Linked DNA regions of Styela clava. The protein of the gene in region 1 interacts with the protein of each later gene in a biochemical or structural test. Links are inferred from orthologs where the notes say so. Each region holds a gene or a part of one and is shown on either strand. Other genes may lie near its edges.

Region 1 (3,935 bases):
ACATACTACGTTCCGGTGTCCTCCGTCTTGGTTCACATACTTCGGGAGTATCCTAGAATGTTCCATGACGCGACCTAAATTTTTATATCAACAGGGATATTGAAGGAGGATATGGGTCGACATTGGTTGCTTGTATCTACGGACCTGCAGGAAATGAATAGTAAGTGTAATAGTCTGTGGCACGAATAGCATGAGTTTCAAAACATAACACATAACCGCTGCAAGAATCAAAGCATATTTAAAACGTTGGAGTCACATTGTTCAAATTGGAGGCAGTAGTCCAAAGTTTGTAACTTTGCCTTGTCCAGTTGTCCGTCACATGGGCAGGCTACCGGTACCGCGGTCAGTCATTTGAGCTTCTTGTCTATAAATTTGAGCATTGCTTTATTGTTGCCTCTTATTTATTTAATTGTCGGTATTTTTATTCATTATAATAATTTATTTTCAGTTACGAAGGTGGAATTGAAATTTTGCCATATTTGGTGGGATACTCCTGCTCTCAATGTCCAGACGATGCTTCCGTGTGTATTGACAAGCTGTGTGTTTCTCCAACTTAGTATTGAAGAGTGTTTTTATTGACTTTATTGTAAATTGTTATTCACATTTTAGTTTCTTGCCGTGGTATCTGTTGGGTAACTTTTTATTATACGTGCATATATATATCTTCATTAGTATGTCTCCAAAATGTCAATTTTTGGGAAAATTGTGAAGTGACTGTATAGCAAGAATTGAGATTTAGAAAAAACTTTGTAATTAAAGTGGAAGGGTATGCGAGTTTGATAAAAACCCCGTTAAAAGCATAGTTCCAAAGCCTATTTCCGTTTTCAAGATTTTCATTCATAACGCACATCCGGTGAATAATATAGAATGAAATCCAATAGCAATTTTATATGAAAGGTAGTGGCGGCTTTATTTGCGATAGTTGCAAGGAACCGACAAACAACTCAAGTAGTATCGATCCTTTCTGCCAGGTGTAAACTATTTTAATACTACTCGACTTAGGTCTCGTTGCCAGACGAACGACCAGCGTTTGTCATATGATCAAACACTTTCCACATTAATTTGTTTTTTTCGACAATATATGTACACTCTGGTACACTGACATATTTGTTAGCATTTTGTACACTCTTTGGTTTCCGTGTCGACTGCTAAAATGTAAATTTATTTATACTAAGCGACTCCTTACACTTCCTTTAAAATGTGAACGAAGGGGTCAGTAATGTGCTCAACCGGAACGAAAGGTCGAATCGACGCAGACGACGTTCTTGCTTTGGTTTACGTCGAGACAGTTTCAGTGAGTTGAAATTTCCCTGATGGCGATGGCGTAATGGCGAATTACGATAATTCAAGGAAACCAAAGTACAAGTATGGCTTACTTGAATCACCAAATACATCGTATTTTTCAAGTAGTAGCGCAAATGAGCTCAGTGTTACATCTCATCAGCAGAGAAGTAAGGGTAATACATCGGGGAATTTTACCGGTATTTTTGATGCTTCACCTCTGAGTGACGACGTACGGTCTCCTTTGATGTCAAGGCAACAGAATGTCTGGAACCAGCAAGTTCGTCCAAGTAAAATTTTACTGATCAAACGTTGACAACGGAACTAGCCTATAATGTACCTGTATACTGAGCAGACTAGAATAGACTGGTATTGTTGTTCGTTGTAGGCTATATTAGGGTCTAGTCTGGTTGGTCTCGGTCCAGCATAAACAAAGTACATTTTATTCTAACATGAGTTTATCGCTTATGTTATTTTGCAATTTTGTTCAGGATTAAGACAAAACTTGTACAAGCATCGTTTATATTTAGGGGGCGTGTGTTTTCAAAAAGCCAATTCAATTGAAATTTAATTTCTTGTAAATCTTTAGCACCCAAAAAAGATATTCGTAATTTTATACGTGGAATTTTACAAACGGCATAATAATATTTTCAGGCCATGACTCTTCTATTGCCACTGTTGCAAACATATCTGGTATCAGTTCGATCGCTGGCGAGCAGAGAGGCAGAAGTACGGAAAAGACATCAAACTCTGATACACTATTTGCGTCCGCGGAAAACTCGACTTTACGTGTGAAAGAATGTATGCGAACACCAAAGAATACAAAGAATACAGCATTGTCGAGGCCAAGCACAAGCAGCGATTCATCCCACGGTATGTTAAGGTTGCAGTCCCAATTCCAGTTCAAATACTAATTTGTAGTGCAAACTCCCCTTTTTATAGAACAAGACCAAAACAGGGTCTTTCATTCTGGAGATCTGGGTTTCTTGAGCACATACATGAGGTAGATGAAGTAATAACGGCATATTTACGGCTGAATTGGCCGGTATTGAATTTTGCCGTTTCGTGACATATACTAATTTGTAGGATTAACCACCCTTTCGCTAGAATTATACCAAATGGATGGATTTCATTTTTTGGACTGAAATTTTTTGAGTGCAAATCGAATATATAGAAAAATGACGTAGCCTATTTAAAGCTCACGTGCAGTATAAAACCGCTTGTATGGCTTGACCATTTTTAATTCATTTTATTTCTTCCCTTTTCTGTACTTGATTGAAAATTGCATGAATTTAAAATATTTTTTGAAGTTTTCCAGCTTCCGACGGGGCGAGCGCCTCGCAAAACCCCAAAGTTAACACCAGGAAGGAGCAGCTCACACACAACACCTAGAGCTGTTGATTCTACTTTGTCTGGGGCTTCCAGGTTAAATTATATTATTTCATTCTAAACTTCGACTCCTTGCAATTTGAAACCCGAATCCGGCTCCGACTCTGGGATGTCAAAAAATTGACTCCTAGTTCAACTTCCCAAAACATAGTTCTCCAGACGCTTTTTTCAGTCTAAATATCAATTATAGTTTTGACTCGAAGTCTTGAGCCCGTGAAATTGAAAATGCAGAACAACAAACGCTAATCCAATTTGTTATACCGTATTTAAATCTCTGTAAAAATGAACTTCTTTCATAACAATTGAGTCGAATTGACAACTTACAACAAGCTGTTCCACGGGTGCGATGGATTGAATTTTAATCCAAACTCAAAGATCTGAAAAACCCAATGGCTTACAACTTGTAAATCTGTTACCCATTATTTTATCATTTCATAGTCTTTATTAAAATCTTTTTTTTATATATATATATTTTCTTCATAAGAAACTTTACTCTGACAACTGAGTTTCTACTTTGAAGCGTACAGTAGCTTACCCAAGCCAACGAATAAATTTTTCCTAACTTTAAATTAATTCATAACTAATTGGGGTATTGGCAACAGCTCAAGTACGCCAATAACACCAGGACACAGCAGGCGAACACCGCGTAGTGCCAGATCAGACGTAACAGACACACCTAGGATCACAGAGTCATCGAATATCGTAGCGATAGTGGAAGGGAGAGGATTGGCAAAGTATCGTGATTTTGTATATTTTTATATAACTTCAGAAAGAACTTTAGAAACCCGTTTGTTTATCATTTCAATCTATCGAAAATTTTAGTATCGTTTCTTTTGATGAATTCTGTGTCCAAAACGTGACCAGTTATTCTCAGTGTAAGCCCTTAAATTTGCTCAGATATGAATCGGTATTACTTCTGAACTTCTGACCTTGCTTTAAGCGAATTATTTTGCCTAAATATGTATGTATATTTATATGAAGAAGAGATTGTGAATGTTGTACCGATAATAACCATGGATGCGGGAGTCGGAGAAATTTATAATCCAATACCGACACCGCGTGAAGAAGAAAATTGTCTTCGTGTGGTAATTTCCGGATCCGACTCCAATGAGAACATTCAACTCCGATTCAGACTCGAATTACTGAAATTTTCAATTTTGTTTCTAAAATGCTTGCTTTTCAAATTTCGCTAAAATGACACTCAAAATATTTTCACAGAGGAGAGATTGGAATGGCTTCCATTGATTTACGCCATCCAGTTTTGC
Region 2 (3,935 bases), on another chromosome or scaffold:
TATCCAAAAATTGGTTATATACAACATAAATATTTAATCAATCATTTCGAATCGGAGCATAACATTTGATTTATTTTCAAATAATCTTCTGTAAGACATAGTACGGTAGTTCGAAATCAACATACGAGTACCGTTACAGCCTCATACCTGATGAGTTCAATACTCCTTCCACCTCATCATCTGCTGTTCCAGTTAATTTTTTTAACAAATTAATGAATCTTTCATCTTGCTTGGCACTGGTCACTATCGTAGAAGGATGAAGTTCATCCACCACTGAAAATTAAATATCTCCTCAAACATGGTTAACAATGACAATATTATATAAAGCGACAAGGACAAAACCTCATATAATAAATATTTACAGATTTAAACCAATGCTACCACTTCGAGATTCATCTTCAAATTGGGGATGTGCAAACAATTCAGTTGAATTGTATTCAACAATGTTTAGTGCTTTTTTAAAAGATATTGAGATGAACATCATCAAAGTTATGCAAAATGAAATGCAGGAGAGATTTATGAAATACCAAACTTTTTCAATTTTATATCCCATGATAAATCTTTTAATTTTGTGCATACGGTTCCTACTGTATAAAAAATATATGAATCATCTTTCTATACCTTATAATATATACCCATATATATTTTTCCAAGCTTTCAAAAGCAAATTGTGAATTGTGAACAGTTCGAAAAACTCACATCTCCTTGGTAATGTAAAAGAATCAGTTTCTAGTGTATCCAGCAGTATATGAACTATTGCAGAATCCGAATCATAATATGCTGCTCCAAGTCGACCCCCATACCACAAGATTGTCATAATAATCTTAAAACATGAAAAAAAGGAAGATTAAAAATGTAAGAGGTTATGTGTTGGGTCTGATGAATAGTGCTACAAGCTTTTGTCTACCATCTATGTTAAAATCATTATTGAGAGTGCATATATCGTTTTGGTGGTAACAGATTGACAACGAAGAGTCGTATTTGCAAGCCATATTACAGTATTACCTTTGTGCAGCATTGTTAATACTTCAATGGACAGGCTAAATTTTTAAGCAAATCTTCCCAACAAAACAAAAAACTTATTGTGAATAGGTTAACGACTCTTACAACGAGAATATCGGTCAGAGACCAAAGACTTATCGATCGAAAGACAGGGGATCCCCCCAAACAGCGCTCTTACTCCATAGTGACACCTTGTGTCCCATCACTAATAATTAATATCTCGCTAATTATACGACATAATTCATCCAAAATCAATAGGCTTCTGGTACGACATATGATGAATGCACATGCAAAATCTGGAGCAGATTCAATCTCGCTTTCGTTAGATATCGCGTGCATCTAACAGACAGACAGACAGACAGACAAATACCTATCAACATACTTACCGATTAAAATCGATAGGTAACAAATATATTTATTTCAAAAACGCAATATAAAACATCTTGACTGCAAAACCAATCTGATAATCTGAAGACCATATGTCTGTATGTAAGCAGAAGGGAAAATAAGAGAGAACTAAACCTCTGGCTGGTCTTCATCAGTTGGTGAATTTTCTCCAGTGGCATGATGAGTAACATGAGACACAATGTCAGATTCCTGAATATCTGATGATGACAATGATGATGGTCGATTTGTTGATGGTGAAACTAGAAAAACAAACTATGTCAGAATGTGCCAGCGGTATTATAGGACCGCAATTACAGTAAAATTATCTAACAATTAAAAAAAATGAAATGCAAGTGAGATTTCCAAAATACAAAACTTTTTCAATTTGATATCCCAAGACTAAATCTACTAATTTTGCGCATAGCCTATGGTTTCAAATTATATCAGTATATTGAGAAGATGCAAAGTCATCTATCTTTACCTTATGTAGGCTATGTTTTATCCAAGTTATTAAAAGCAAGATGTCAATATGACATTACTAATCCTTGCCCCAGTATGGTAACCTGTTAATATGTTTATTTGTTTTTGTTCTGCTAAGATTTAGATATCGGATTTTTATAACTATATAACATATATATCAGTATATATATATATATATATATATATATTTCTGCTGTCAGAACAGGTTAAACATTTCAGCATTTAGATGAGATAATAAATCAGACACAGCTGGACAACTAGTCCATGTCTGCATGTAGACTTTGTACCTGAAGAGGTGGCTTCAATACTCTGATAATTTTGTGTTCCATGTGAAGCATTGTTTATAGATCGAGAAAGAACATTTTGAAAAGGACTCGACAAATGACGATGACATAAAGAAACATTGCTCGAGGGATCTGACAAATATCCCGTGTCCATATCGAAGTACAGAAGTACCGGTACCGCTGTACTGAAGTAATGATAAAGCTGTACTGCTGGATAAGAAAAAAATATGGTAACGGCTTGGTGAACCAGACTAATGGACTATCTGACTATGCAGATGCATGCTGTCGTCTGCAACTACCGGCATTTCCTGATTAAAATGACTAACGTGTTATTATACTCATCTGAAGTATCGAAAATAACGAACGAAAGATGTAAACATAGGACGACGGAAGTTTCAAATAATGCATTTTCGTCGTGACGTCAATGTTACGTTACGACGACGATCGAGCGTCTTATCTTCACGCAACGACGTGATTACGTCATCCGCATCGGGAGCCTCTTTCTCTCTGTGCGTCGCGGTTACGCAGTGAAGAAAATGACTGTCCGAAGTTAGGGCAGTGAAGGATAACGGTCAGATGGCAAGAAATATCGATTATTTCAATAGTAAAAATAGTCCAATTGAACCGAAATTTGCAGGGAATGTAAATTACCGCACGAATGTTTTACCGAGCAATTTTGGCACCGTTTGGACAATAAATGGCCGAGTTATTGACGAAAATATAATAATTTTGTCCGAAGTTAGGCGCTTTTACGGTATCACACCTCGGTGGAATTCTGCAGTAGCATCAATACTGCAATAACCAGACAACTGAATAATGCTAGAATGAGTTGTTAATTCCATTTACTTGGACGTCTTAAACAAGAGCCGCTGAATTGCGTTTCGTTGACCATTTAATTTTCACTTTGACGGATGGCGATGTGTGTCACAAGAACATCAAGTTGCCATTTCGTCTCTGACTGGGCAATACACATATTTCACCTAGGTCTGTAGGTTGCTCCACATAAAGTTAATATTTATCGTATTTGCTACATACAGAGATGCAGGTACTTGTTGTACCACGGAGAATTATATACGGTAGTTGTACTATGAGTACTGTACATAATACCGATATAATATACTTTATATTTCTTGGTTATTTAGCAGCGGTGTTTCGCAAATACGATGTTTCTATAAGGCCCCAACCAAATAGTTTGGGAAAAACACCACGCCACATTTTAAAATGAAAAATTAGTAATTATCCAGTTAGGGTTAAGCATCTGATAATTTCCAGCGCAATCTACATCTCCAGCGCAATCTGCATCTCCAGCGCTAACTCACAACTAGATAATTACCGCATATTTTTGGGAAGACTGTTGTGGGAGTTTTTTGGCGGAAGCTTTCCACAAAAGATTCCGCAAATACAATACAAATATTTGCCCATAATTTGCAAGTTTGTATACTTTTACTCCCTTGTATCTAAAACAATTTTGAGATGAACGGGGTAAATAGGATAACATTTACATATTTATCCCGGGGAGATGAAATTCGATAAAGCGAATATATTTACCGGTATGTGGAGTTTGAGCTCGTGTTGTGTGTGTGGACCATGGGGATGAAACTAGTCTAGAAAGCCAAGCCCACATTAATAAAACAAACAAAGTTATTCGCGTTACGAGTTTCTGCAGCTTCACGCTCCATTGCGGTCACTTGATTTGCTCGGAGATTGGTGAAGACGGTGGTATGTGCACAAAATATCTCGCTGTATATTCTTAGCTCAGCAGCCTATGGTATTTCATTAAGT

Evidence for each region.
Region 2: the proteins of mutS protein homolog 4-like (region 1) and mutS protein homolog 5-like form a complex in vitro, tested with the Homo sapiens proteins (2 studies listed by BioGRID). The link is inferred for Styela clava from reciprocal best matches to the Homo sapiens genes MSH4 and MSH5.

What each region holds. Positions count from the first base shown.
Region 1 is NC_135250.1:4,577,929-4,581,863, reverse strand, and holds the start of mutS protein homolog 4-like, read left to right. Parts: upstream 1-1,274; 5' UTR 1,275-1,327; coding exon 1,328-1,571; intron 1,572-1,935; coding exon 1,936-2,154; intron 2,155-2,591; coding exon 2,592-2,706; intron 2,707-3,272; coding exon 3,273-3,404; intron 3,405-3,888; coding exon 3,889-3,935. Other genes in the region: GLIPR1-like protein 1, read left to right, coding at 95-160, 449-557. UniProt on the Homo sapiens protein: Involved in meiotic recombination. Required for reciprocal recombination and proper segregation of homologous chromosomes at meiosis.
Region 2 is NC_135259.1:8,594,127-8,598,061, reverse strand, and holds the start of mutS protein homolog 5-like, read right to left. Parts: upstream 2,453-3,935; 5' UTR 2,308-2,452; coding exon 2,157-2,307; intron 1,650-2,156; coding exon 1,525-1,649; intron 824-1,524; coding exon 700-823; intron 274-699; coding exon 148-273; intron 1-147.